Linked DNA regions of Lepisosteus oculatus. The protein of the gene in region 1 purifies or fractionates together with the protein of each later gene. This does not show direct contact. Links are inferred from orthologs where the notes say so. Each region holds a gene or a part of one and is shown in the gene's direction. Other genes may lie near its edges.

The links.
Region 2: the proteins of mafa (region 1) and usp5 purify together in Homo sapiens (affinity purification with western blotting; 3 studies listed by BioGRID, with this or other methods). This does not show direct contact. The link is inferred for Lepisosteus oculatus from reciprocal best matches to the Homo sapiens genes MAF and USP5.

What each region holds. Positions count from the first base shown.
Region 1 is NC_090715.1:17,780,538-17,796,492, reverse strand, and holds the start of mafa (transcription factor Maf), read left to right. Parts: upstream 1-7,501; 5' UTR 7,502-7,913; coding exon 7,914-8,875; intron 8,876-15,955.
Region 2 is NC_090718.1:2,637,946-2,653,773, reverse strand, and holds the start of usp5 (ubiquitin carboxyl-terminal hydrolase 5), read left to right. Parts: upstream 1-9,944; 5' UTR 9,945-10,300; coding exon 10,301-10,408; intron 10,409-12,120; coding exon 12,121-12,249; intron 12,250-13,078; coding exon 13,079-13,145; intron 13,146-13,718; coding exon 13,719-13,849; intron 13,850-14,938; coding exon 14,939-15,084; intron 15,085-15,828. Other genes in the region: p3h3 (prolyl 3-hydroxylase 3), read right to left, coding at 1-1, 561-688, 860-939, 1,212-1,264, 1,895-1,984, 2,171-2,310, 3,043-3,174, 3,997-4,192 and 3 more. UniProt on the Homo sapiens protein: Deubiquitinating enzyme that participates in a wide range of cellular processes by specifically cleaving isopeptide bonds between ubiquitin and substrate proteins or ubiquitin itself.

The sequences.
Region 1 (15,955 bases):
AACAAATAATAGGTTTATTCCATGCTGAAAATTCCATGTACTTCCTCACTCCCAAAGAAGGCTCCACAGCCAAAATGTTGTGTTTTCTTTCTCCTCTTTTCAGCATGGAATAAACCTATTACTTATTCCTTTGCAGCCTACGCATGCTGACGCAGCTACCCACCTGAACTACATAGCCATAAAATGCCCAGTATATATCACTTTTCTCCACTTTAGGTCTTACAAGCTACAGACGCATGCAGAGATTGTACCAATGAAGCAGGCACAGTGTTTTTAGTACTATTTTAATTCCAAGTCTGTCTGTGCAAGACCATTTCAAATAATTAAAAAAGCCACATGCAAATTTGACATAAAATACCTAATATACTTTATAGACAGCAAAAAAGTTGTCTACACTGGAATTAATACCCCTAGTACAGTACAGTATGTCAGTTTACTATAATTTATTTTAATACATTTTTTATAAAAGCTGCATTGCCCCCTAGTCTGAATATGTAGTTATAAGCAGTTTTACACCATACAAATAGAAACAATGTACTGTATAAAAACGTCCACTGATATTAAATATTTTTGTCTAGTTTTTACTATAGACAGTCTTCAGTAAGGGGTCTTTGAACAATCCTTGTCACAATAAGAGTAATAATTGCTCCTTCCTTTCCTGATTCTAAAGAATACTGAGAAGATATCTGCTCTCAAGTACATATTAAAGTTTCTTCTGCTACTTATTAATTGTGAACCTTTTTTTGTTTTCCTTTAGGACGTGATGTCATAATGCCTGTAGCATCAATAAAATATTGAAAAGTATCTCTTACCTCTCAACTTCATAAACAATGGTAGTTCAAGTAGGTGGCTGCATCAGCATGTGTAGGCTGTTGGAGGGCTTACCTGTGATTCTTGTTCTTCCAAAGTATTATTACTTTTCATAATTAGACTCCTATTATTTATTATAGTTCTATAATTCTACTACACCACTTAAGCCATTTTTACATCTGTAAACGTATGTTAATTGCCATATGAGTATAATAATTGTGATGAACAATTCTAACAATATCTTGTGATACCTGCACATTACAACAAATATACAAGTGCAATGCAATAGGCAATCAGTACTGATGCAATCCCATTCTTGAGCAGTCTTCAATTAGTCTTTGTACACTTTATTGTAATACATTAGTTCCAGTGAAATAACTTTATTCTTGGTGATAATGTCAAAAAGGCACATCAATTTTAAAACTTTTAATGTGGGTAAAAGTCTTTGCCTTGATAAAAATTAATATACTATTTCATACCAGCAACATTTAATTTATTTTGTCACTTAACAAAAACTGTTATAAAAGCACAAGGCTATTTTTCTTCTTTTGTACTTTTGGGAGGTCAAATGGAAATGTCATATCACAGCTAACCACACTCATCTCTAAATGAATTAACTGACATCCTTTCATACTAGGCAAACTAATATAAACCACAGAAGCTTATGTTTGTCTTTATCATGCTTTTTCTCACGTAAGTGCGCACATTGAAATCCCATTCTTCCGCTGCTGCGTTCTCTGACCTGATCACTCCCGACTAGGTTACCAAGAAATCACGACACAGTTAACAGAATCAAGATTTTAAACAGTTTTGAAAACTGAGCTGCTGCACGTCTTATATTTTAAGCATATGACAGCTGTGAGTGGGGCTCGATGTCGTGTAGGTCCTGTAGCCAGAAAACATCAGGCAGGAATTAAATACGTATAGATTAATAACTGGGTACCTGATGGGGAGCTGCCATGTACATTATTATGTAGAATTATGTAGAATCACAAGGCCCACAACATACAACCTGCTGGGTACAAGGATATATCATAATGGAAACAAGGGAAGACAATTGGAATTGAACAGATGCTGGGTTTCAACAATACAATGTAGAGTAGCTTGAAAAAAAGAATAAAAGATATAGAATATTTATCTCTGTACCCAACAATCTTGAGAAGATTGAAAAGCAACAACAGGGTTTATGTCTGTTATAGACGTGAGTACTCGGATGGGCGTGATGACATTAGTGGAGTACCACAGGGATCTATAGTAGGACCATTGTTCTTCTTCATTTATATCAATGATCTAGATAGAATATGGTTTGATAAGTATAAATCTAGTTTGCAGTTAACACTATTTTGGTATTACTAGTCGTATTATCAAAGACTGTAGATCCAAATGAAACTCAAAAAAAAGATTTAGATAAAATTAAAGACTAGACAAACACCTGGCATTTGCCTGGCATCCTTTCTTTTAGAATGTTTCAGAAACAGACCTGATGCTGCAGTGTTTTTTAAGATCTATATACAAATTTCATGCACATTAATCAACTTAAATGGCCAGTTTCAATCAAGGCTATATCATTCATTGCTGTCGCTAAGGTCCCCAATCTCAGAGCACAACAAGCCGAGTCCAGCTGGGGCTGACTGCACTCATCCAAGCCAGAGGCCTGCCACACAGCAGCCCTTTGCAGGGATTTGAATATCTATCACCTTGTAGTATTATGAGTACCAGATGTATCATTTTCCATTTCACTTCCTCCATAGGCACTAGGTCTTACAGTGTAGTGAAATGAGACTGGCCTTGTCATGGCTTGTTTCAGGAGTACACAGCTCCCAAAGACTACAACAAAGAGCTGACTTGATGAATATACCGTATATGATTAGTTTATGTACTAGCCAACAGGTGCAAGTGTCAGGATGTCTCTCAAGACCACAGTGCTAAGCTCTGTGAGGTAATCCTCTACACATGCTGATTTATATGAATATGAAATTGATACTATAGCAAATAATAATCTGTTAAGGATATTACACATTCTCAGTACTGCACAACATCCCAAGACCTAAACATATATTTTTTGAGAAATGAACTGATGACTTATCTAAAGTACCACTATCAGTTAAAATATTCAAGAAAATAAAATGTTTATATTTTAACCTTTGATCACTGAATCTAAGAATTTTATTTTTATAATTAGCTATATAACTTACGTTAAAAATACCATAAGCAATTGTATGAGAATATATTAATTAATGATGTCTTAGTGTAATACTCTAGTATAATTTTAGTTATATTATACAATAACTGCTCCAACACACTTTTGTACTCAGCAATTATTTTAAATATAATTTGCAATTTTCTTGTAAAGTGTGTAATATTCCATCCATATAATGACATGTATGATAGAGCTTTGAGATTATTTTAGTACAATGTTATACATTGTGACTTCCACTGTTAGTAAAGGTACACCTTTGTGCCACTTTTGAAAAACACAATTACAAATTAGAACCAAAAGCTTCTAGTGTGGAGGTTTATTTGAATTCTCTGGTCAAGGAAGAAAGGTTAACTTCAACCTAAAAAGAGAAAAATTTGATTGAAAACAGCTTTCATGAAGCAATGTAAGAAAAAGAGTATTTTAAACAGTTTATTCTTTTCTCTCTGATTTTACCTTTCACTTTTGTTAACTTTCAATACTTCACCTGTAAAATGTGATCCAGAAAGGGTGTCTTCTTCAGACTATTAAAACTATTCACTTAGAACTCCAGCAGCAGTTCAAAACTACTTTATGTTTACTTACAGTTTTCCTCACAACTGGGAGGAAGTTCCACCTCTTCTCTCATTAATTAAGATTATTTCCTCATTCCTTTCTCAATTCTCTCATGAAACTACTGCAGTGATTTAAAGGAATTTTTACAATGGCTATCTGAGAGCACTTTCCATATCATTATTAATTCATTAAGGTTGGACTTTCATTTTCTGTAGTTTTGTATTTAGTAATATACTGTCAAGAACAATGAATTGACCAATTAAACCAATGCCAAATAAAACAAATTTCTTCAACAGATAATTGTAAATTTGAAATCTTACAATATCCAATGTAATCTTACAATTGAATGTACTATTCTGTGTTGTTATATACCATATGTACATTTAAAGAGGTTTTTTTCAATTAGAGAACACTTGAGAATATTTTTTATACTTCAAGTCATTCCATATTATGATGAATGTATATTTTGTTCCATACAGCAAATCCTAAAATTGTATATTGTTATAAGTGATGCTTGTAATACTAAAGAAAAAATACAATTCACGTTACATCAGGATTTGACAAGTGATAAAACACAGCAAGTGGAAACTAAGAATACAGTAGTTCTCATATATATTTTGATATACTGTACAATATGCAAAGACAGTCTTGTATTTTAAACTATATCATTGTTTCTCCAAGAACACTGGAAATAGCATTTTAATTTTAAGCATACATATACAGTATGTTTACACTGTATGTTCTTTGATCTGTTTATAAGTTAAAAGTTAAGTTTAAAAATAAATGGGACATTTTGAAAAATGAAAGAAATGTAAATTCTACCCAGATTTAGACTGAATCTGGTTGTCTCTGGAGCTGTTGATAGTTTACAAAACCTCTATCTTTAACAGCCACTGGTAGCTGAAATTTGATTGATTTTACCTATCATTATACTACAATTACCATACTCTCTTAAAATATCCTGCATTCTTTGGATGAGATCACAGGTTTTAAAAGAGGTACTCTTAGTGTATGATTATAGGCTTTCTTGACATGCACAAAATGGTCATTTTTCATTGCAGCAGGAAAAATGAGTAGCAGTGCAACAACAAACTAAGAATGGAGCCATCAGTTATAACTAGTTAACACTAAGATTCCCTTAAATATTTCTGGTTGTGATTATTTTTAAATTGTTTATTAATCAGATAAATATATTAATATTTAAATGTAGTAATGGTTATTAAATATTATAGATGTGCACCCATGCTAAGAATGCAAATTGCACAGAAAAAAACATTAAAATTATGACAATCATTCTGATTCATAATAGATTTCTTTGTTTTCTTCAGCTTTAACAATAAAACTTAACATTACAAAGAAACACATTCCTTTTTAATGGCAATAATCACCAGTACAAAAACTGACAATTGTTTTTGTCCTCAAAGACATATTTTATCTTTTGGGTTCCTGAGCATTACTTCAGTTTTATCCTTCTTCAGATCCAGTCCTGCACTACTAGGCTGAAATCTAAGGACCAACTGGGCTGTGAACCAAGAATGTGTGTGTTGCCATTCCAATGTCAAAACACTTAATCAAACTAAGTCTATTCCTTGTTGAATTCAGAGAACAAAGCTACTTTACCAATAATAGGCTTTCCATTTTCACCTTTTGATTTGATTAAACCACCAAATGTCTTGTTTTAAAACAGCATATACTTCATAAGGAAAATACAGAGTACATTCACTATAAAATCTACAGTATACATACTGTAAACCTAGTATAGATCCTGAAGTGCATGCAAGGAATAGAAAGCAGAGATAAGTGCCCTCTGAACCCCGGATGAAGTGCAATGTACAAGAAAGTCGTTTAATATATGACTAAATGTCAGAAGTCAGGTTTCTTAGAATTACTTCTCAGATAAACAACTTTATAGCAGTGCACTTAATCTTGCTTAGACAGTCTCGTTTAATCACTGAATTAGTTAACTTTAATTCTATTGATATTGCCATAAAGAGTGTTAAAAATGAAGAAGGCATTTTAAAATGACTATGTTTCTTCTTGTTTTAATGAATCTAACGTAAACCGTGTTTTTTATATTCTCTCAATTTTAAATAAAAAGAATTGACAACAATTGTGATTTATATATGATAGGACTTACGATTGCTGCGACATCCTATTGTATTTCCATGGCTTTTAAGGTGAATTAATTTAAAAACCTTCTTCTGTTTTCAAATATCCAGAAGTTACAGGTACGTTTGTGGTAAATATATTGCCCTACGAGCAAATTGGTTGCCCACCTCTCATTTTCATTCTTACCAGATTCACAGGCCGAACACTGGAAAATATTTGTTTCCATATGAAGAAAGTTTCGTACTAGGACCCCCGTTAATATTACCATGATCAATTACCAGATATGTCCATTTTTAATGTTAAGTACATAAAATTACAAAGCAGTTCAGGTGGGTAGCTGCGTCAGCATGTGTAAGCTGCAAAGGAACAAGTAATAGGTTTATTCCATGCTGAAAAAAAGAAGAAAGAAAACACAACGTTTCGGCCGTGGAGCCTTTTTCAGGTGTGCCACACACCTGAAGAAAATTACAAAGTAGTTAGAATAGTTGATGTTAACTCACACATTCAGCTTCTATACTACATAGTTGCAAGGCAATAGTACTTTATCAAACTGTTATATTGATTAATTGTACTTCTTAGATTTATGGTATATTATTGGTATATTGTCATCCTATAATAAAAACAATTCCTTGTAATTCTTCTTGTGCATCTTTGTCGCTCTACAAACCAGTTTAATAAGTGTACAAAATATTTTTATACATTTCTTCTTAAAGGAATGCCTTGGTCTAAGTTATTATGCAATATGTGTTATATTAATGCTGTGTGTAACACATTTAATGAGTGAAAACATTTAATACTTACGATTGAAAATGAATGTAAAATATTTAACATAAAAACTAATACTGCTTAACCAAGACACGTTTCATTTCCTGCAACTCTTATTCCAAAAGGTGGCAGTGTTGAGTTTCCAAATGTAAAGCTCTGATTGTTTCAACTATTTCTCCTCTTGTGCACCTCTTACCTTTTGTCAAACTTGGCGGTGCATGGAATCATACGAATGCTGGGTGTTCAGCGAAAATTAATTTAAAGTTTTACCGCGAAATTAAAACATTAGAGTTATGTAAGTTTGTAGTGAAAAGCAAACTTATAAAGGCATTTGTCTGTAAAAATATGTTATTTGTTAGCTATATAATGCATTGTTAGTTATAAAACATACAGTAAAGCAGGGAAAAAAAATGACACGCAGACAAGACCTATCCCAGTTTCGATTCGGAAGCACTCAAAAACTACAGCAGTAATAAAGTAACTTTTGTTTTGTTAAAACAAAAGTCTCATGTTATGAACACGGGAGAGGTGCAATATGCCAAACTTTCACCGTTTTTTAAGGCAACCCCCCCCACACACACACACACAAACAAGTCAAACACAACAAACAAATATGCTCAAATGTTTAACGTTTAGGAAGAGACAGTCTGTCGGGCATTCTCTGAAACTCCGGGGAACATTGCTGAATTTCTGTCACCATGCTTCAGTATTCGATGCTTTCTAACTTATTGCTCCGTCTCTTGGCTTTTGGTATAATTACCGATTCCGCCATAAAATCAAATGCATTTGACGTATTTTAACTAATTTTAAAAGAGGTAATCCGCAAATTATAGCAGAGAAACGGCATTCAACAACAAATGACCATCTGACCTAAAACTGACACGAAAGAGTTAAAAGTTTGAGTCCCAGCTGACAGTCAGCTGATAGTCCCTGACAGTTGAGAAAAGTTTTGTTTCTACACTATTATGTTAATTAGCTTTCAGATTCAGAGAGCCGATTGGCTCCGAGTCTGAGTCAATTTCCCATTACACCTGACGTCAGGGCAGCTATAAAACTCAGCAATGCTTTTAAACTCATCTGCTGGGTGATCCTTTAAAAAATTCTCCAACAAGCCCGGGGAATATTTTTTCTACAAGACTACAGTTTACCTCTCACTTGCACCCTTCTACCTTCGCCACTTTACAATTTATTTTTGAAGAAGTCATGAACTGTTAAATGGTTGAAATAAGAGGCTGTTGTTACACTGCTATCACATGCAAAGAAAGGAAGAAAGAGAAACACGCACTGCTCTGATGCGTCTGTGCAATAGACTCTGCAAAGGAAAACTATATATTTTTTAGTCTTTGCTGCAAATTGAAAGCCCTTTTCTTGGTAAAAATAAATAAATAAATAAATCAAGCTGGCTCACACTCTTTCAAACCAGAACAGTTTGACAGCTGCTCTTCACCCCCTTTGGAGGACTGTCAACAGCAAAAGGATGGCATCAGAACTGGCAATGAGCAACTCCGACCTGCCCACCAGTCCCCTGGCCATGGAATATGTTAATGACTTCGATCTGATGAAGTTTGAAGTGAAAAAGGAGCCGGTGGAGCCCGATCGCAGCATCAGCCAGTGCAGCCGCCTGATCGCCGGGGGATCCCTGTCTTCCACCCCGATGAGCACGCCTTGCAGCTCGGTACCTCCTTCTCCCAGCTTCTCGGCGCCCAGCCCGGGCTCCGGGAGCGACCAGAAGGCACACTTGGAGGATTTCTACTGGATGACCGGCTACCAACAACAGTTAAACCCGGAGGCTTTGGGTTTCAGCCCCGAAGACGCCGTAGAGGCGCTGATCAACAGCAGTCATCAGCTTCAGAGCTTCGATGGCTATGCTAGAGGGCAGCAGTTTGCCGGCGCAGCCGGATCAGGAGGCACCATGGCCGGGGAAGAGATGGGATCGGCAGCCGCTGTGGTGTCCGCAGTTATCGCGGCAGCCGCAGCCCAGAACGGGGGTCCCCATCACCATCACCACCATCACCACGCCGGGGGACATCACCAAGCACCCGGGGTCGCCTCCAACGTTAACTCAGGAGGAAACCACCAGCACATGCATTTGGAAGACAGGTTTTCGGACGAGCAGCTGGTGACCATGTCAGTGAGAGAGCTCAATAGGCAGCTACGGGGGGTCAGCAAAGAAGAAGTGATCAGGCTTAAACAAAAGAGGAGGACCCTCAAAAACAGAGGCTATGCTCAATCCTGTCGCTACAAGAGGGTCCAGCAAAGGCACGTCCTGGAAGGCGAGAAGACCCAGCTCATGCAGCAAGTTGAACATCTCAAACAAGAGATCTCCAGGCTGGTCCGGGAGAGGGATGCCTACAAGGAAAAATACGAGAAGCTTATCAGCAATGGCTTCAGAGAAAACGGCTCCAGCAGTGACAACCCTTCCTCTCCAGAATTTTTCATGTGAGTCTCAGCATAAAAAACGAAAATCAAGCTTGTCAACCCCTTCATAAAAGTTCTCCATGTGAATTATTTTTTGTCTGGGGCTTGCTAGACCAAGAAACAAGTTTGCCAACTTTTTTATTTTCTTTTTTGTCATTTTTTAATTTGATTTTTTATGAGAATTGGGGTTTGCTCAAGCTTGTCAACTTACGTGAGTTTTTTGGGGGCTTGCAATAGAAAGATTGAACTTGTCGTCGAAATATGTCCTTCATTTTGGAGCTCGCTCTTTGAAACCTGCCATCAGCTTCGTGTTTATTATAATTATTATTGTTTTTCTTTTGTTTAGCTCATGTGATTTTTTGGCTTGCTGTGTTTTTTTCTAGATCTATCATCGTTGTATTTTTTAAAGCAGTTATAAACTTACAATGTTATATATATATACACTGTAGTACTGTATCTATATATAACATTGAAGTTCAACAGCTGAGATCTTTTTGACGTTGTTAAGCTTAGAATCTAAAAAAAAAACCATCACCTGCCAAAAACCAACTGCAGCTACCTTCAGTTTTCATGTGAGATTTGGCTTTTTTACCAAACATGAAATGCCAAACATGAAAGACTCTGAGCCTGCCATTTTTACCCCATTCTCATCTCATGCATTATTATGCTATTTTGTTTTTAGCAACAAAACTGTAACTGTTTTGAAACAAATATTAAAAAGAGACAATATATTAATAAACAACCCTGCATGCTGGACATGTACGGTATTTTTTTCTTCTTTTTTTGTGCTTGAAAATGAACTTTCCTGGATGACTTTAACGGCATGGCATTCATAACTTTCTTTTATTGCCTCATCACTTTTTTGAGTTTGCAACAAAAAAGTGCGAGGGACATCCTCTCCCACCCTTCCCATGAAATCGCATCTGCTAATCTAGACTGCTTGATTTTGAGTTGTACGACATCGTCAGACTCTCATTTTTTATACAATTAATGCACTGAAGCATTCCCGTTTGAAGTTGTCAGGTTGGATTCCATGTTATGAGGGGGAATAAGGACTTCGAAAATTCTAAAAGGAATCAATCCCTCTTTGGGACTAAAACTGTTTATTGCTTAAAGCAGTTTGTTTTATTTAATAATTACCCCCATCCTTATGCATTTGGTAACTCTGGAATGCTATGGGTTCCTAGTACGTAATTTAAGTATATAGTTTTATAATCTGTAAGCCCTAAAGTTAATAAGGTTGTGCTACAGGTTGTTCTTAAAAAGGAATGTTGTAGATAAATTAGGTTTACTTAGAAGTAGGTTTTATAAGGTCTGATGCACTAAAATGTCTTTTTCTGTTGTTGATGTAAGGGGGGAGGGGCGGGGGGTTCTAAATTTGTCAAATAAAATGGGATTGTTTTAATACGAAAACAGCTTTATTTGCAGCATGTGCTTGCAATTAAACCAAGTTGGATAAATGTAGCCCCTGTAATACCACTGACTGTATTTTTAAACCAAAGTATTAAATCAGGAGGGGACTCCTGTTTCACACAACGGAGATTATACATTGGACAATGTATTCTTCTCAAGGAATTGAAGTATTTTGGACTGAATTGCACTAGAATAGAACATACAAGCATGTGTAACAAAATGCAGAACTGTTTAGAACGCTAATAAGAATGCAAACAGACATGCAGTTATTTCTGGCAATACTGCAGAATTTTAAATGATGCAATTTTAACAGTTGTATTATTATGCAGAACTAGTTGTTCTTAAACAGAATTGATCATTTCCAAGGCAATAAAATTAATAATTATAATAATCAGTAATGTCAGGACATTTATAAACCGTCAGGGATTGATACCCTGCATGTGCAAAATAGGGGAAGAATCCATTCTACAATAAATTAAAATGTCAATTAAAAATCTTTTCTTTTTATATATTTTGCTGTGCAAAATTATTTTATTCTTCCGACATACTAACCATATGTGATGTTCATATATGTGCTTATTTTCATTTTTTGTTTCTGGATACAAATAATTGAAACGATATTTGCAATAAATAAAACATTGCAATTTGGATTTTATCCACTTTTTCAGTCTTCTCAGCATAAAATGTTGTTAACCCTTTATTAATTCCGATATTCTGTTTTATTGTAGTTTAGCATGTTATGAAACAATGAGTACAAATAACAACACACGTACTGTACCTTTATAGTTAACATTGTAATTAGGGAGCAATGCAAAAGTTTACATTTGATATGGATATTTGTATTTTTACATTACAAATGACAGTTTATTGCACCAATTAGCCACTCAATATCCAAACTTGATACTCGTAAGTTAAAAGATTAATTTAGATTTTTGTTTAATCTACTTTAAACAAATCATGTATTTGAAAGAAGAACGTCCGTTAGACTTATCAAGAAACCGAAAGTCTGCTATGACCAGAATAAAAGCATTTCAAGTTGTTCACTTTAGATGAATTAATTGTATTTTCCACTGACATATTTAAGCGTGTTCAGTAACTTAGAAGTGAAATAGTGTAATGCCACGTGAAGCCACATAAAGTGCTAACAGTAAATTGTTAGAAGAAAATGAAAAGGCCATCAAATAGCAGAATCCATCTGATAAACAGAACTTGTAATTTATGTATTAATTAAAAAACTATATAATGAAATGACAACAACAACAACAACAACAATAATTACACACACATTATTCTTCGAAGTGGGGGAAGGTACAATCACAGACACCTGGAAAACCCTAGTTTTTTTTTTAATTCGAGCCAGTCAAGTCTCGACCAAACGTAACTCAATTGCTGGAGGAAACAGACTGAACAGGTTTCTGTGGCTTCCTTAGGTTCTTCCAGTGGCAGGCGTGAGTTCATGAAACATAAATACATACAGTATCTCTGTACGTAAAGAAACAAAATAATCCCATGTTTCGTATGGCAGCTATTACTGTTTGTTTTTTGGCTAGTATTGCACAACGTTCAAAAGGAATCGTTCATGTCGACTTCATATGGTTAATTATTAATTTCAAAGCAAAGTTAAACATTTTGGTGTTTCAAAGTTTTTTTTCTGTAGACTCCACTCTTTGAACCTTAAAAAGTTAGTATACACGTCATTTATTAACTTGTGCATCAGAAGATTACGTCGACCTAACATATGTAGTCAGCCGTTTAGTTTAAAGGTGAAGATAAATCTTTACTTTGCCTTTCTTAAATACGACTGTGAAGTGCGCAAAGTCTTAAAATAAAGCTGTCATTGGAAATGGGAAAATATGTATAAAATGGTATGCATCGCCTTTATTTCGTAAACAGACATTTTCGATTTGAGTCTGCTTATTTGACGATCGTGTGCATAAAGTTTTAAAAATAATTTCCTGAGTAATTTAAATACAATTTAAAGGAATCGATGTGTTAGCTGCATTAAATAATATTGTTTTTGTTTGATCAAAGTGTTATCAAATACACAGTGTCTATTTGTGAATAGTGTATTTGTAATACACCAATGATATTTTGCTTCATTGGTGTTTTGCATATATTTTTAAAATATTATTAGGCCTATTAGTAATTTAGATGTTGTCTTTACAGACCCTATATGAAAGGTATGTGGGAACGTTTAAACAATATGAAACAATACCTAACACCACGAAGACAATTTCAGTGCAAGATTATAAACTATAAGAAAGTTAACATCTTAATAATATAATGTTTTTTTTTCCTCGAAAAATCTTTATGCTTTTATCTTATATACTACATACGTACTGTTACTTCCTGTCCAGTAACTTGAGTGAGATTGAATGAAGAATAAGTGTGCATGGAATTTGAGGGAAAGGTGTAATGGGCTTTGTTTTGCATGCATACATCGCTGTTCATACAGTATCCTGTGAATTTCACATTTGTATGACAGGTAAGTTTCTAGTCTTTAGAAAAGTGATCATCATAACCGTTCAAAAGACAACTAATCTAAGAAACTAACGAGAAGGCTAGTGTATTACCTAAATGTATAAAAAAATACTTGATTGCCTGATGACTTATTACTGATTACTGTATTCAGCAAAATGATCATTAACATGCTATTGTAACTTTAATCTATAGTAGAATAGTTTAGGCAGCTAAAATAAAGTTTATTTTAAAAAATGGTTCATATGATGAAGAGTATCTTTCCATTATATAAAAACAGATATTGACATTTCAAGAAGATGAAGATGATTTCTAAAAGATACTTTGCAAAGGAATGAAAATTGGTGCAGTTTTCTATAGAGATGCTCACAAAGTGATGATAAAGATGACCTTGATTGAGATTTTACTTGGTGAATAAGATCCACTTTAAAGTAAAAAAGGACAGATGTTGTATAAGAATAATTGGTATACTACAGTATATTCACAAGTACTGTAACTTCTAAATTATCCAAAAATATTGTTCACTTACAAGTTAAAATTGTACAAGCACTTCTGGAAAATAATGCTTCAAAGAAAATGATAACATTATTTTCTTTAACATGCTCAAATTATAGAACAAAGATCAATGTATTAACTCTGGTGATTTTGACAAAAAAGATTTTCTACCAAGCTATCTAAATGGATGTTTTCATAACCAAGTGTTTGCTTTAAGGGGACTGTGCAAATGACGATAATGCTGTACAGTAATAGCTTTTCTTATTAATTGAGATTGTTTTTCTATTTATGAAGATACTGTATTTACAGTTACCAATACTTAAATACAAATTGAGCTATTGGACCTACTATTTTTTTATTGTCTTCACATAAACCTTTAACATATTTAACAAGATGCAGTGGAGAATACCATGGCAAGTTGAATTTTACATCATTATGCAGTGTTCATTATGCATTCACTGTTATTTAGGTTGTACTGGCCTGAATTTGTCTAACTATACTACTGGATGCTCGTTTTACTTGTGCTTTCTTTAGCTATTGATACATAGAACTGTCCTAAATTCCTCTCCTGATCAGTCCGCTCTCATATTGTGTGTACAGTAGTTTGGATATTATACCAGAATGCTTCTTCACATTAATATAGAATGTATAAACACTAGTGGAAATAGCTGTAAAAGCTAAAGGCCAAGAGAAGTTTTATTGTAATCGGTATTCATGTACAGTATTAGTTTTAGTCAAGGTCAAGTGCATTTGTCTCTGGTGTGAGATGACCAATTCTTGCATTAAGTCCTACCTGCCTGGTCCAGGTATCGTTTTTTTGTCTTGCGTGCACTTATTGCTTGAAAGTGATTTACCTTCAGAATGTTATAATAGATTGCAGCGCAAATGAATTATAGTAAGAGTGGCCAGTGCTTTGGAGTTACTGTTAGGAAAGAAATAAGTTCAGTTGTTACATGAGCACCAGGGCAAGCAACATCAATAAAAGTGCAAATTCTAAGGAAAAAAAATTGATGTATTGACCTAGCTTGGACTGCATGGTTAAATTCAACTCTGATCTCAGAGTACATTCAGTATATTTTTTGCAGTGACTACTGTCGTAGCACTGGTTTAGTTACCAATTTACGCTGAGAGGGAAAATGCCTGAAATAATAGTCCACTTTCTGCAAAATTAAATGATTTTCATTATGATTAATAGCTGAAAAAGGACCTGTTTCTGGTACATAAAAATGATAAATCATTGGTGATATTCTGCAGCTGTGCAAAGAATAGTTTTTAGTATTCATATAACCAACAATTTATGGCATTCATTTCTTAGGTTCATGTAGGAGAAGTAGTTCAATATATTATCTAATTAATTAAAACTATCTTTGAAATAAAGTTGATAAATATTTTTTTTTCTACAGGAGAGACTGTTTTTTTTAATAACAATGTGATTGCTTCCCCATGCACAAAGATAACTAACGGCTACACTTAAATATTCTTACCTCTTTTGTTTGTGGTATTATTCAACCAAAGCCCTTATTTCCATCCATATATTTTTGTAAATATGTTCTTAATATTATGTTTTAATAATAATAATGTTCAATCAAGACCATAGTGTAAATCATAATAAAACTTGAAATTACTAGCAGTGCAGGGAATCTGGTTTCTTCTTGCGTATTGAAAGGATTATGTTGTTTGCATTGGATGGCAAGATTTTATATTTTACCTAAAACTATTCTGGTTCCTAGGTTATTAAGGATGCTGCTTCAGAAACAAACTTTCATTTGACCATCTACAATAATTGTATCACAAATCAACCTCTATGCCAAAGTGTCATATAAAGAGAGGGTCATTGGGAGCTCGTCTCGATTTAGCAAAATACAGTGGTTCTATGTTTTGTTATATATCAATAGAGTACAAAATGCTATAATGATAATTAAAAACAGAAGAAAAAAAATCAAGATGTTATATTCATATCATTAAATTAAATATTTTTAGCTTCCAAAATGATATTCAAATTCGCACTTGGACGCGTTATGCATTTTTTTAAGCTACTTTGAATTACTTATTGTATTTTAGCCCTAATTCTGGAGCAATATCTCATAGCCATATATGAAAAATGTTAATTCATTTATAATGTTTTAAAAGAAATTCTGTTGGATCAGTACTATTTGCTAAACAAAGCTTATATCCCACCATGTAACAAAAGAGACAATGTAGTAACTTTACAATGTGATTTTTTTCTGTTCCAGCATTTAGAAAGAAAATTATTTCCACGGGGTGAGGGAGTTTTTGCACTATAAATGCTGTACAGTATTTATTGGAGAAGGGTTTGTTAAAAATCCATTAGGATATCTCTGAGTCCTCCTAATTCTGTGCTAAGGAATTTTACAATGAATAGTAGGCTGAAAGCAGATAAAATTAGGAATTGTGATCATATAAAACTGCGTGTCAAGTGTACAGTCAGTCACAAATTCATTAAAACAATCCCTGTTACTGGAGGCCCACATAGTGAGGCAGAGAGACCAGATTAATTTCCTGTGTAAAACAACCAGACTTGAGAAATCCTAATGCAAATGACAAATCAATTGCAGGAAACAAAAATTTGTATTTGCAATTCAAACTTAAAAACATTAGTGGTTTCCAGTACATGATTACCAACTGCACGATGCTGTCATTTGTATTAGCCAATCAAGTGAATCTTTTTTTAAAAGAAATTACTGTAGGTATTGC
Region 2 (15,828 bases), on another chromosome or scaffold:
CCTGTGAGCGAGAGAGAAGGGAGATCAAGGGGCGGAGCCAAACGGGCATGACCTCATACAGACTCATCATCACATGATGGTATTTCAACAACTTCAATAACTGCTCATCCAATTCAGGGTCACGTGGGAGCTGGAGCCTATCCCAGCAAGCACTGGGCACAGGGCAGGATATACCCTGGACGGGACGCCAGTCCATCGCAGGGCACACACAGACCTTCTACAGACTTCTCGATTCAGGTATTTATTCTTCAGCTTCAAAATTACCTGATTATGCTCCTAATCTAGTTCCAAGTGGCACGGCAAATTTTCACTGTTAAATATTAGCCATATATTCATTCTTTTCATGAAGCACTTCTAAACATGACAGTTTTCTCCAAATGCAGGATCTTGAAATACAATATCCTTAATTTTTCTTCCCATAGTTCACTGTAAAAAGGGGGAAATGTAACTTTCTCAAAAGCCTCTGCAGAACTGACAGAAGTGATATCCCCTCCCTCCTAGTCAATCTAGGAAAACCCCTAAGCTCCTCAATTGGTCAATGTGTTTGATTGACAGCTCACCGTGGCCAATCCCAAGATGGTACGGCACTCTTCTGGGCTCAGCACTCCATCAAGAACAACACGATTGGTCCCATTGAGAGTGGCATCATCCATTGTGACAGACACCCCTGGGAGAGTAATGGGACCTCCTACAGATACAGAGGGGTTAATACAGACACACTGAGCACCACAATACATTAACACTGCACCGAGAGAGAGAGGGGTTAATACAGACACACTGACTGGACACTCCAGTACATTAACACTGCACTGAGAGAGAGTTGTTTTTTTATTTAAAAAAGGGGGAAATTGTATTTTACCTGCATAGAAGCCACTGTCATCTGTTTCTCCTTCTCTCTGTCCTTCTGCCTGTCTCTCATCCAGTTTTTCTTTCTCTGCTCTAGAAAAGTACGGGTATTTGTCAGCGTGTCAGTAAGTCAGTACAGTGTTAGTATGTCAAGAACGTGCCAGTATTTCAGTGTCCATATGTCCCCCAAATGTTGATACAGTGCCAGTGTCTGCATCACCAACACGTGAGCAGTTCAATGCGAGCTCAGCGTTGACCAGCACACTGACAGTGTCAGAGCTGTGTTTCAGTCTGCTGCTCCAGTGTCATCACAGTGAGCCACTGTGTGAATGCAGTGCATGTGTCTGCATGTGTGATTCACTCACCTCCAGGACTCATGCAGAGACTCGGGGATGACGGATTCTGGAGTCCAGAGATCCTATAGAAAATGATGTTTTAGTATAAGATTAAAAACAGACTTCCGTGCCCATGAAGTCATCTCCATTCCCTTCATCTGGAACACACTGACTCATAATGAATGAGAGATAAAGAGTTTGAACATCTATCCTTCCATTTTCCAAACCCTTCTTCCAATGCACGATCTATTGAAGGGGGAGCTGGAGTCTATCCCAGCAAGCAATGGGATACACTCTGGACAGGATTCCAGTCTATCACAGGGCAGATGGACACACACTCACACACACACAAGACACGCGCCAGGACCACTTTACCCAGAACCTACCAGCATGTCTGGGGCCTGGAGGAGTAAATCCATGGGAACATGGGGAGAACATGCAAACTCCACACAGGCAGCACCCCACAAATTGAACCCAGTGCCCTAGCGGTGAGAGGCAGCAATGCTGGCCACTGCACCCGCGTGCCACCAAGAGTTTGGACATACAAAATCTGCATGTGTAGTATATAGCCAGAAATATTTACAGTATACTGTAACTGATATATAATCCCAAAGTAATTTTCTCAAGAGGAAAGACCTGAGCAATCCTGAACACGCTATTTCCACTGAAATAGCAACGTCCCTAATAAGACATTAACAGGGTCAGTGACCTACTGGATCGGTGAACTTGAAACCCAGATTCTCCATCGCAAAGTAGAGCAGTTTCTTCTCCAGCAGCGACCGATGGACATACCGAGAAATATCCTGAGAGCGAGAGGGAGAGAGAATCGGGGGGGTGAATACAGACAACAAGACTGGCCCACCTGAACAGGAACGGGGTCTAGGGAGAGAAAGGCAGCAGAAAGCCGAGCAGAGGAGCTGCGCAGAGTGAGCACAGGCAGCCCAAGACATGGCGAGAGGAGAGAGACGGACACGCGGGGGGTGGTTGACCTCTCGGGGCTGGGCGCTCTCCGGGGTGCTGCCCCCTGGTGTCCTCAGGTAGAGCTGCAGGTTGGAGAGGGTCTCCGGGTCCTCGGGGTAGAAGAGCAGGTAGGCGCGCGCAGACATCACCGCCCCCTGCAGGGCGCCGGCTGAACATCCGGACCCAGAGAGAAATTGTTGGGGGACAGGTCTTAGTATACACTCACACGCTGTACTCCTAATGGAATCCACATTATCCAGGTGGGGCTGCACATTGGTGGTGGCAGTGGGATTCCCCATGACCTGTAAAGCACTTTGAGTGGAGTTTCAGGAAGGTGCTATATAAGTGTATGTTATTATTATTAATAATAACAATAATAATAATAGTTTCCAGCTCTGCTGAGGACTTCTGCTTTCATCCCACCACTAATTCAGGAGAAGAGGCAGGGAACCAGCAGACCTGACATCAACTAACTGGAGAGTGTAAGATCTCTGCTTTGATCGAGCAATCATACTCTACAGAAAACTACTTCCATAAGTGATAGTCACTCTTTTTAGGGGTTATTTGCTTACAATGAGGATTATACATGGACATTGCACACTGTAGTTCTGTGGTTACTGTACAAAGCAGCTGTCATTGTTGTATCGGTTAAGCACACTTACACGCCTGTCATGTCTGATCGTTATTGCTGGCCATCTGCTCCTGAATCAGTTGCCTCTCCTCAACTGGAGGCAGGTCAGAGGTCACATACAGAGATCTGACGTCAGTAACACTGAGTTACTGATTGACAGCCGGAATACATGACTGGGCACTGCAGTACTTTAATACACAGGAATGGGATTAACACAGACTCTAAAACTGCAAGCATGTGCGTGTGCATAAACATGCCGTGACCTCTGACCTTTGAACTCCGCCAGGTGCAGGTGCTCCAAGAGCGATGGCAGGAAGTCCTCAATGGGTGAAATCCTTCCGGGTCGCGTGGCTACGAGAGACACACAGGACTGGCGGCAGGAGAGCAGCTGGAGTGACAGCCCTGAGAATGAGGAAAAAGCAGAGAGGGGTGACTCAAGTAGACTCACTATGTCACAGATATCACACTGCAGTCCTTTAAGTGCTGTAGCTGTACTGGGAGAGGATAGACAGAGTTAATTTGCTATCTACTCATATAATTCATCATAAATGTACTAAAATAACAATGTTAAAAATGTAAGTCATATCATATTAGTTATGCCAGCAGCAATATCAGCCTTCAACTCACCACTGGCAGCCCCACTGGAGCTCAGCAGGTGTGAGCCTGGTCAGTACCTGGATGGGAGACTCCTGGGAAAGCTAAAGCTGCTGCTGGAAGAGGTGTTAGTGGGGCCTGTAGGAGGTGCTCACCCTGCGGTCTGTGTGGGTCCTAATGCCCCAGTATAGCGACGGGGACACTATACTGTTAAAAGGCTTTGTCCTTTGGATGAGATGTAAAACCGAGATCCTGACTTTCTGTGGTCATTAAAAATCCCAGGGTGTTTCTTGAAAAGAGTAGGTGTGCTACCCCAGGGCCTGGCCAAATTTCCCCCCTGATCTTTACCAATCATGGTCTCCTCATAATCCCCATCTTTGAACTGGCTTCATCACCCTGTACTCCTCCATACTGATTGATGGTATGTGGTGAGAGTACTGGAGCATCATCCAGGTGATGCTACACATTGGTGGTGGTAGTGGGATTCCCCATTACCTGTAAAGTGCTTTGAGTGGAGTGTCCAGAAAAATGCGATATAAGTGTACACACTATAAACTGCATTTCCCATAAACACCCTTCTGATGCGTACAGTGCATTCTGGGGGCTGTAGTTTTTGCCATTCATTCTTACCAGCTGCTCTCTCGTAGAGCCCCTTGGTGCCGGTTAACTGGTTGTCCTCCTCACTGGGCTGCAGCGCCTCCCCCGCACAGTTGGCTCTGCACTCTTCTGTTGCAGCCAGCGTCTCGTTCACACACTCCCTCCATGCCTCTGCCGCCCGCGGCCAATCGGAGATGCTCTCAGCCAATACGCCGGAGTCATGCAGGGTCTGAGCACAGAAGGGGCAGAGGTATTGGGAGGTATTGGAAGCAGGGAGAGATATGGAGAAAGGCAGAGAGAAGTGGACAAGGTGGAGGAGATGGAGAGATACTGTACTTCTTCATTCCATGAGACACAAGAGTGTCTGGAGCAGGTGGACAGCATACTTAAAAAAAGGCACCTGTTTTCATGAAACAGTTGCTTCCACTCAGTCTAACACTTAGTTTCTCAAAGTGGACTCGGCAGTTCACAAGTGCAAAGAACCAGCTACAAACTCTGGGTAATACAGCACTGCAGTAACACTGTAGTATAGTACTGGAGAGTAGAATATTATGTTGTGCTAAACTGTTTTGTACTAAACGGTAGAAAACACTACACTACACTGTAGCAAATGCATTGTACTATAGCTCATGGTACTCTGCTTAAAGCTTGATTATATCTCAACCACAGGACCTGCTGCCACCCTTTCACCTGAAGTCAAGACCACTCGACCTTCTGTCCTGTCAGAGCTTGAATGCAGGAGGTGGCAGGCTCTGATTCTGGCATGGATGAGCACAGAGGCAGCAGTGAGGATTGCTGCTTCGCAGTGCCAGGGCTCAGGGTTTAGGTCCTGGGGTACTGTCTGGGTGGAGTTTGCATGTTCTCCCCGTGTTTGCGTGGGTTTCCCTCCTGGTGCTCTGGTGTCCTCCCACAGTCCGAAAGCATGCTGGCATGAAGCACCTGCCCGGTGACTGACAGCCCGGTGTGAGTGTGTGTGTGTTGGTGTCAGTGTGTGTGCCCTGTGATGGACTGGCATCCTGCCCAGGGTGTATCCTGCCTTGTGCCCATTGCTGGATAAAGCAGTTAGAAAATGGATGGATTCAAGGTTGCAGAGTTAAAATAACATGACCAATAGGACATGTTCCTCTGACGAGAATGAAGAAATGTGCCACGTATGTTAGTTTTACTATGTGAGTAGCGGACAAACCAAAGCAATCGGAAAAAGTAACTCATTTTTGTAAATTAAGGAACATTTCTTCTAACTCCTTTGCTTATTTTCTGTATAATTGGAGTAGCTTTCATGCACTTATTGTAAGTGTGTTACTCACACTTGTTATTGCCTGAACAGTAGAGCAGGGATTGTGCAGTAGGATATATTTCATATTATTTGCATTTGAAATGGCATTGGTGACAGTTCCTATTGAAGTTAGTGGCCAGGGTAAGCAGATATGTGATCCTTCCACACGCAGGCTTAAGGCTATTGAAGGCATTGGCACACCTGAACCGGGCCCAACAGTGTGGCACAGCTGTTCCCTGTGTTGTATTGACCTGCATCCCCATGCAGGGGGTGGGATTTCTGACTCTCTCACTCACCCAGTGCTTCTCTTTCTCCCTGTCGAAGAAGGCCTCTTCCCTCACTCCCTTCATCCTCCTGTACTTCTCCAGGTTGTTCCTCATCTCCAGGTGGCTCGGGTTTGACACGAAGAAGGTTTGGGCGGCTGACACCGCCTTCTCCAGCCTGCCCAGCTGCAAGAGAGGAGGAGGAGGTCAACACAAAACGCAAGGGCCCTACAGGCTGAGTGGAGGTAATAATGATTCCATACACTATAGCGCTTTTCTGGACACTCCACTCAAAGTGCTTTACAGGAAATAGATCCCACTGTCACCACCAGTGTGCAGCCCCACCTGGATGATGCACCAGTACTCTCCCCACACACCAGCTCTCAGTGGGGAGGAAAGCAAAGCGATGAAGCCAGTTCAGAGATGGGGATTATTAGGAAGCCATGACTGGTAAAGACCAGGGTGGAAATTTGGCCAGGACACCAGTTACACCCCTACTCTTTTTGAGAAACACCCTGGGATTTTTAATGACCCCAGAGAGTCAGGACCTCAGATTAATCTCTCAGCTGATGGACAGTGCAATTTTTTTACAGTACAGTGTCCCCGTCCCTATACTGAGGCATTAGGACCCACACAGACCACAGGACCAGCGCCCCCCACTGGTCCCACTAACACATCTCTTCCAGCACCAGCCTTAGTTTTTCCCAGGAGGTCTCCCATCCAGGTACTGGCCAGGCTCACACCTGGTGAGCTGCAGGGGGGGCTGCCAGTTGTGAGCTGCAGGGTGATACAGCTGCAGCACAACGAGAGATTCACACTGCGCTGAGAATGAGAAATCAATGCAGGCAAACAGATACACAACAGACAAACGTGAGACAGGTGCCCGGAGTTACTGTATAGAGACAAGACGTACAGTAAGATGATGAACCAATCAGGGAGATATACAGTTACAGACTCAGCCAGCAGTGTACACCCATAGATAAGATGGCAGACACAGAGCCAGTACCTTGTAGTAGGTCACCTGCAGGTAGTTATAAGGATTCCGGTTGGTGAACTCATACTGGATGTCCAGGGAGACAGGGGGGATGGCAGAAGGGGTAACGCGCTGTTCCAGGCAGAATTTCAGACACTCAGCCCGCCGCTGCACCAACCCAAACACAGCCAGGTCCCAGAGACTCCCATCCGCGCTGTCTATCGAGCATCAATAATCTTGAGTCAGTCCCACTGCTTACTCCCGGGCTGAACCGATTACAGCCGTATCACCCTCTGACCCGTCTGAGAATTAAGACAGACACTCCACCACCCCCCAGACATCGTCATTGACAGTGTGGGTCATAGTCAATAATGGGTAGTCAGACACTCTTCCAGCAGCTAATCAGGTCTGATTACCTTCCAGCTCCCAGCCATCGTCATTGACAGTGTGGATTATAGTCAATAATGGGTAGTCAGACACTCCTCCAGCTGGTGATCGGGTGTGATTACTGCCAGAGATCATCAGTGATACTGTGGATCACAGTCAATAATGGATAGTGAGACATTCTTCCAGCAGATGATCAGGTCTGATTACTGCCAGAGATCATCATTGATACTGTGGATCACAGTCAATAATAGATAGTCAAGATACTCTTCCAGCGGCTGATCAGGTCTGATTACCTGCCAGCTCCCAGACATCATCATTGACAGTGTGGGTCATAATCAATAACGAATAGTCAGACACTCTTCTGGCTGCTTTATCCATTCCTGACATTATTGACTCGCCTCACGGTTGACAGTCTGTCAATAATCCATCATTAACGCTCATCCCAGTGATAACCTCCAGTGCAGGATGATCTCGGGGGAAAAGCAATCTGTGCTGATCGGTTTCAATTGGGTACGATATTACAGTTGCCCAGGGGTCCCAGACTCGGGTCCTGAAGGCTGCTGGGTCTTCTATGCTTCTCCAGCACAGGCAGAGATCATGAGCTAGCTACTGCCTGACCGGAGGATTTTAAAGCGTGACTCAAGTCACAGGAGCTGTGAACGATAGCCCAGACACCGGCAGGGGGTGTGACAGGAGTAATAAGTAAATTTGGGGGCTCTGGAGGAGAATAAAAAAGCAGGCGTTTCTTCAGCTGCCCTGAGATCTCTCTCCTGTACCGTCTCTCTCAAACATCGATGGCCGGTTTTCAGTCAAGTGCCTTCTTCGGTGTCATCAAAAACCAATGACAAAAACTCGCACCCGAGCATTCGGGAATCGTTACCGATCACCCGTCAACGAAGCACCAGCGCATCATAAATAATCTGTCCGGTCCAGTCAGTCCACGCCCTTCAGTGACCGAAGTTAAAGATCAGCAGTGGGCTATGCCAAGCCAGTGTTTAAAGAGCACATGCATCCCCACCGGCGCGGTAGTTACCCAGGCGAGCGGAGTCCCCGGCCGCCGCCGCCTCGCACTGGTCGTGACAGCCGCGTCGGACCTGGAGCAGCTCGGCCCGGGTGGCGATGGAGCGCTCCAGAAACTCGGCCGCGCGGTCCCACTCCTGCGTGAAATACGCCCGCACGCCCGAGTAGTACAGGCGGTCGTAGGGCAGCAGCTGGCCCCCGACGGGCTCCAGCAGGGCCCCGGCGGCCCGGGCAGAGAGGGAGAGGAGGAGGAGGAGGAGAGAGAGGAGAGGGGAGCCCGGTGCCACGTCGCTAGCTGCGGTGTTTCCTCCGCGAAACGCCATTCGGATTCCGAGACTGGTCCTCCAGGAGATGGGAGGGCAGAGAGATGTGGAGGGAGAGATGTAGTAAAATTAAAGTGTGTTTTTTCCCTCCTCTCTCTCTTTCTCCTGGGACGGGGGGCGACAGTTGTGGGGAAGGGCTCAGAGAGGAGGAGACGGGGCTGGTTTTCTGCGGTGTGGGAGAATTATTGAAGGGGGAGTGTCGAGTTACAGCGGAGAGGGGGGAAGGACCGTGTCGTACCCTGAAGACAGTATCCTCCTGCGCGGTGGGGAAGAATGCTGTGCGAGTTCAGACCGACCGCATTCCTCAAGCCCTTGAAAGCGCTCTGCTGACCCTCTTCTTCTGCCCTTCGGCCCAACCACGTCGCAGCGAGACCCCTGCAGTTTGCGCCGTCGACAGAACTCACGTTTAAACGCCGGCAAAACGAATTTCATTCATCGTTGATTTCATTTGGAAAAGTGTTCAATCTGTTTTTGTGTCGAGGCTACGTGCCACTTTCCCTAGTCTTTCTACCCCCCCAATAATTATACAGTCATTATAACACAAATGAGGCACAAAGGGTACTCTTTTCTCAGCTCTCCTGTATTGCATACGCAGCCGTCTGTCATTACGTGGGAGGCAGCGCCAGTAATTCCCCAAGTGTGCAAGAATAAACGGGAAATTGTATACACAACGATGCACCACCCCATAGAGGAGTATTCGTTAAGGTACCGACACAAACTCGCTCTGTCTCGCTGCGTCTCTGGGGAAAGTCGCACCATCTTCTCGGGAGAAACGGAGAACGACAGACAACGACAACATACGCCTTGTGCTGCCTAATCTGCGCACGTATTTGAGTGTGGGTCTTCATCCTGTGTTAATAAAGGCACGTTTTCGCCCGGTCGCTGACGTGATACATGAACTCTTAAATTTAAGGAGCCGTTACTAGTTGCAATACCTTATGCTTAGTACGTGGCGGTCGATGGATAACTTGTTGCCTTTTTAAGCATTACGTTTACTGCAACTCGGTAAGGCAAGTCGTGAACAGATAATATTAATCAGTTATCTCAGGGGGTGTCGCAGTGTACGGGAGCAGAACCGCTTAGTAAACCGAAATAAACGCCATAAATGTGGCTCATAAGCGCTGGACGGTTCTGATTCTGAACATTCGTGTTGGATTAATGTACACAATTGTATTTAATTTTTTTTTACTACGTGTTTTTTCCTACTACTATTTTACGACACAACACGTAAAAGGCAGTAATTAGTATGTCTACATTTGAATCTGTGAGTCCATAGAAAGTCTACACTGCTTCTCTGACTCGGAACTTTTTCCGAAGCGAACTTAATGACCGAGGCGACCCGCTCCGCCCGCCGCTAGGTGGCAGTGGCTCTTCTCCGGGGCAGCCGGAGTGACTTTTCCGCTTTCTCATTGTCGGCGCAGCAGCATTCTCGGGATCAGCCGTTACCGTATTTTAAGATATATAAGGAACGATAAGATTATTGTTGAGTTCAACATAGGACAACTTCCAAATGTCACTAGAATTAATACAGTAACACTATGTGAGTTCCTGTGTACAGAGTCTGTTTTACTTTTACTTATTTATGTATATAAATAATTGTGAGAGCCAACTAGAAATTGTTAGGTTTTTAATACCGTTTATTATTCACTTCTGTCCAGAAAGCTTTTAATGCATATTTCACAATCACTTTTTTCCAATTAAATGCTATTAAAATTAACTGCCACCCACTATTTTCCTTCGGCATAAAGCTATTAAGAGATATTCATCGAGATTAGAGCAATTAAACAAAATTTAATATAAAACGTTTAACATATTTGTTATTTGTACATTCCCATGAGTTAAGCTTTATCAGTGGATTGGATGCATAATGAAATGCGTTTTATGCCTGAGGATGGAATTATGAGTTAAGACAAAACGGGACTTCCTTCGTACTAGTTGTATTACGGTTAGGCGCGCGTCCGCGGCGGACTCGGAGTGTGTCTGGCCTCAGGAGCGCGCCCGGCCTTACAGTTTCCAGTGACACAGAGAGACGGACCGAGCCGGAGAGAGAAAGAGACCAACCAAAAAAAAAAAGAGGACAGAAAAGAGAAGGACGATGTCGGACCTAGGCGAAGTGCTGATGTCGGTATTGTCCACGATCCGTGTCCCACGGCCCGGGGACAGCGTTCACAAGGAAGAGTGCGCTTTCTCTTTCGCCAGTCCGGTGAGTCCAGTCCATCCATAGTCTTTCCCTCTTGAACCCCGTCTCTGTCTCGTCTGGCCACGTCTTTGTTTCTGTCTTCCCCGCTCCTGCTTTTCCGGGCTATTTCTGTGTGTTTGTCTCTCTTGTCTGTCCCCCCCCGCCGGCCCGCCTTGTCCAAAAATCTCCCCCTCCTTTCCTATCGTCTGAATATCTGTTCACCCGTCTTTCCCAGAACCGCATATCCACCCATTTTCGCGCTGTGTTCTTTCGTTCCAGTGTGTTTCTTTACTTCTTTCTGCCTTCATTTTCTCTCTCTGGGTCTATTTTTGCCCATTTCTGCCTCGTCTGCTCCTACTATCCCTCCACTCCGTCTCTGTTAGGCGGTGTAACTCCCTCGGGTTGACTTGGGAGTAGTGTTGTTTCCTTTCTGTAATTCATATTTGTGTGAGGCGCTTGCTAACATCTGTATCGCCCCTTCCTGACCGAAAAGTTGTGTAGTAGCGTCTGTCAGCTGTTCTGTGTAGACCATTACATGTCTGTGCATGTTCGTGTGCCAGTTTGTGTGTGTGTGTGCAGGTCTGTGTGTGTGTGCCAGTTCGTCTGTGTATCTGCAGGTCTGTGTGTGCCAATTTGTGTCTGCAGGTCTGTATATGTGTGTGTGCCAGTTGGCCAGTCCATTACAACACACCCCTGTAGTCTGAGTCACTGTTTCTGCATGCTCTCCGTCTCCCAATGCAGTATTCATGCACTGTAGTTTCCAGGCTCAGCCAAACAGTGTCCCTGCCAGGTACCATCATCTGACAGATAGGGATTCCCTCTGCCAAACTGTCAGAACGCCAGGAATCGGCCTGTTCCCTCCTTCCTCTTCTGCACAAGCGTGTCTTGAAGGTGTTCCTTGGAGAAATGCACCACAAAAGCTGACCTGTCCATTGCGGGAGAGGTTTGGGTTTAATTGCAAGTCACTCTAGCAGATTTCCAGGCCTTTCAGTGTTGAGCGATCTCCCGCTCAGTAGAAAAGGAAAGCCCTTCAGCTGAAGTCTCCCTTTTATAACGGCTTCATCTAATTCAGAGTCGAGGGGGAGTCTGTCCCAGCAAGCAAGGGGCACAAGGCAGGGTCCACCCTGGACAGGACGCCAGTCCATCACAGGGAACACACACTTACGCCAGGGCCAAGTTATCCCAGAATCCAATTAACTCACCAGCATGTCTTTGGACTGAGGGAAATCAGATCCCCTTGAGGAAGCCCATGTGAACCCAGAGAGAACGCGCAAACTCCCCACATACAGTACCCCGGGAATTGAACCTAGGGCCCCAGCACCGCAAGATAGCGACGCTAATCTCTGTGCTACTGTTAGACAATGTCTTTGGACCGAGAGAGAATACCCACATTAATATGCATCTGCTTCTGGCTCTGTTCCCGAGCTGAGCCAAACTTACTATGACTAAAACATGCTTCAAATGCTCGGGTGCTGACCGGCCACTGCTCCAGCTCCACAGAGCCCTGCAGGCGAGTCAGCACCAATTGGAGGGGGCGGAGCATTTTCTCCTTGACATCACCGCAAGTGATGACATCACCGCAGAGGGGTCCCTTTCGAGTGTTTCTGGACACAGCTCGATGAGTTCCTGGAATCCATCAGCCCCTAACTACCACGCGCTCTAGATGAGCCGAGAGGCCTCCTCTGGCTTGCGGTCGGTCTCACCACCCTCGCTCTCGCTATCTCTCTCCCTCCCAGGACAGCGAGGGGGGCCTGTACGTGTGCATGAACACCTTCCTGGGCTTCGGTGCTCAGTTTGTGGAGAGACACTATCGCCGGACCGGCCAGAGAGCCTTCCTCCACATCAAGAGGACGCGCCGGCCACAGGTACGCCCCCATCTGTCATCTGTCATAATAATAATAATCCTTACACTTCTATAGCTCTTTACTGGACACTCCACTCAAAGCGCTTTACAGGTAATGGGGATCCCCTCCACCACCACCAGTGTGCAGCCCCACCTGGATGATGCGACGGCAGCCATAGTGCGCCAGAACGCTCCCCACACACCAGCTCTCAGTGGGGAGGAGAGCAGAGTGATGAAGCCAGTTCAGAGATGGGGATTATTAGGAGGCCATGATTGGTAAAGGCCAGGGGGAAATTTGGCCAGGACACCGGGGTAACACCCCTACTCTTTCCAAGAAACACCCAGGGATTTTTAATGACCACAGAGAGTCAGGACCTCGGTTTAACGTCTCATCCGAAGGAGGGCGACTTTTTTATTTCCAGCTGGGGGCTACACGTGTCCTGTGAAGCGCTTGGAATGGCGTGTCCAGAAAAGCGTTGTATAATTGTAAGGAATTGTTTTATGTTATTAAGTTTGTGGATGTGCACCGCCATGCCGGGCCCCCAGCCTCTGGTACAAGTACTAGGGCTGCCCGACCTCTTGGTGATGGGGTGACTAGCACCCCTCTGGCCCCAGTGCTCGGTGTATCTCTCTATACAGACATCTCCTGCTGTCAGGGCCTGGCAAGCACACATGGAGTTTCTTCTCCTAGAAAGGATCGTGCTGCTGCTTCAGGGATTTTATTTTTTTACCGGGCTTGCATGTAATCGTCCGTTATTTTCGTTTTTTGTCCTTGCCCCTCATGGGAATACATTCCGTATTGCCCCAGGGTAAGTGTTTTCTGACCTTCTGTCAATGTTGTTGGCTCGCAGAAGGAAGAGGAGAACGGATCGGGGGCGGGCGACCCTCCGAAGAAGAAGCCCACCCGACTGGCGATTGGTGAGCTCGTGGCGGGGGCCTGACGAGGCTCCGTGTTCGTCTCCTGTGGGCAATTGCTGGGCAAAAGAGGCAGCAGAGTCTGCGGATCAGCCCCTGCCCGTCAGGAAATCCACTAGCCAGTTGCAGATAGAGTTGCATTAGCCCAGATTCCTGAGTTTTAGGACCAGCTTGGTGGGAACAATTGTGTTGAAAGCCAAGATGTAATCTATAAATATAAATAGTCTGTATAAATCTGTGTTTCTTAGGTGTGTTTGTAGTGTCTATATTAGAATCTGTTTTGATCTATTGTGTTAGATGTCTCTCTAGGGTCTATATTAGAGTCTCTATTGATCTGTGTGTGTGAGGTGTGTCTCTAGTGTCTATATTAGGGTCTGTATTAATCTCTCTGTGTATTAGTGCCTATAATTGGGTCTGTATTTCTGTGTTAAGTGTGTCTATATTAGGATCTGTATTAATCTCTGTGTTAATTGTGTTTCTAAGGTCTGTATGAGGGTGTGTTTTAATGTCTCTGTGATAGCTGACTTCCGAAGAGGTATGTTAAATTCTGAATTAATTCATCTTCCTTTTGCTCAGGAATCGAAGGAGGCTTTGACGTGTCTGAGCAGGATCAGTACGACCAGGAAGTGAAAGTTGTTATCTTTCCTGAGAGACTGGAAGTGACCTCAGAAGACCTGGCCAACATGCCTGATGTTGTCCGCGAGAGGGTGAGGATTTTGGAAGATGCTCACACATGGCTTTTTGAAGTTTACCTGCTTAACTCTTTTTCCTTGCCATGGAGAGTGTACAATGTGTATTTTGGACATTTAGGTAATTCCAATGATTTATTCAGTCTTATTTGAAGGAAATAGTAATCATCATAATAAATTGGTAACGCTTATATAGCGCTTTTCTGGACACTCCACTCAAAGTAATGGGGAATCCCACCTCCACCACCAGTGTGCAGCCCCACCTGAATGATGCTCCAGTCCTCTCCCCACACACCAGTTCTCACTGGGGAGGAGAGCAGAGTGATGAAGCCAGTTCATAGATGGGGATTATTGGGAGGCCATGATTGGTAAAGGCCAATGGGAAATTTGGTCAGGACGCCATTGTAACACCCCTGCTGTTTTTGAGAAACACCCTAGAATTTTTAATGACCACAGAGAGTCAGGACCTCAAATTTACATCTCATTTGAAGGATGGGGCCTTTTTACAGAATAGTGTCCCCATCACTATGCTGGGGTATTAGGACCCACACAGACTGAGCGCCTCCTGCTGGCCCCACTAACACCTCTTCCATCAGCAGCCTTAGCTTTCCCAAGAGTCTCCCATCCAGATACTGACCAGGCTCACACCTGCTGAGCTCCAGTGGGGCTGCCAGCTGTGAGCTGCAGGGTGATATGGTTTCATTTATTCATCTGGTTTTTAAGCAGTCAATTAAGGCTTTCCAAAATGAGTTATTACTCTGTTTTGACTCTTGATCCTTGAAAGCATTTAAAGAAGCTTAATACTTCTGAAATATTCTAAACATGTATCTTGTTCTTAACTTGATGTTTGGGTCCTCTTCTAAAATATAACTCCTGGTTCTGTTACTAAGTCTGAACTTGCCCCATGCTTCGTCATTCATTGTTTAATAAAGCTGTGGAAAAGCGGCATTCTGGTACATGTAGTTTTTTTTAATAGCAACGATGGGGTTTGTGGGAGTTGTAGTCTGCTGTGAGGTCAGTGTAACTTGAGTCTCTGTCACTGGTTGGTAATGTGTGGTAGCATCCTGCAATCCAGGTATCTATTAACTCTCTGCTTTTTTCTCTCAGGTGTCCCTCTCCATGGCAGGGGTTCTCTCAGCAGACTCTGCGTCACACAATCTCCAGGTGCAGCAGTGGGATGGGGAGGTCAGGCAGGTGTCCAAACACGCGGCCGACCTCAAGCAGCTTGACAACGGGGTGAAAATCCCCCCCTGGTCAGTCTTTGTACTTGACTGTGTGTCTCCTGTCCCTGCACGCTTGTCTCCTATTGCTGGACTGTGTGTCTCCTGTCCCTGCACGCTTGTCTCCTCTTGCTGGACTGTGTGTCTCCTGGCCCTGCACGCTTGTCTCCTATCTGAAATGCTTTGTAGCTGCTAGAGAAGGGAGGGCCTCTCTCTGTGTGCAGGAGGTTTCTCTACAGCACCTGCATTGAGATTAAGTGTCCTAATTCACTGCAGAGTTTCAGTCAATATTATGTTGTTTAGTGACCGGTATGCTAGTCTTCTCTCAGTCAGTGAATTTTGTGTCTGTTACCTACAATGCTGTGCCCCGGGTCAGTGGCCAGTGCGCTTATTACCCACAATGCCATTCTCTGGGTGAGTGGCCAGTGTGTCTCTTACCCACAATGCCATTCTCTGGGTGAGTGGCCAGTGTGTCTCTTACCCACAATGCCATTCTCTGGGTGAGTGGCCAGTGTGTCTCTTACCCACAATGCCATTCTCTGGGTGAGTGGCCAGTGTGTCTCTTACCCACAATGCCATTCTCTGGGTGATTGGCCAGTGTGTCTCTTACCCACAATGCCATTCTCTGGGTGATTGGCCTGTGTGTCTCTTACCCACAATGCCATTCTCTGGGTGATTGGCCAGTGTGTCTCTTACCCACAATGCCATTCTCTGGGTGATTGGCCTGTGTGTCTCTTACCCACAATGCCATTCTCTGGGTGAGTGGCCTGTGTGTCT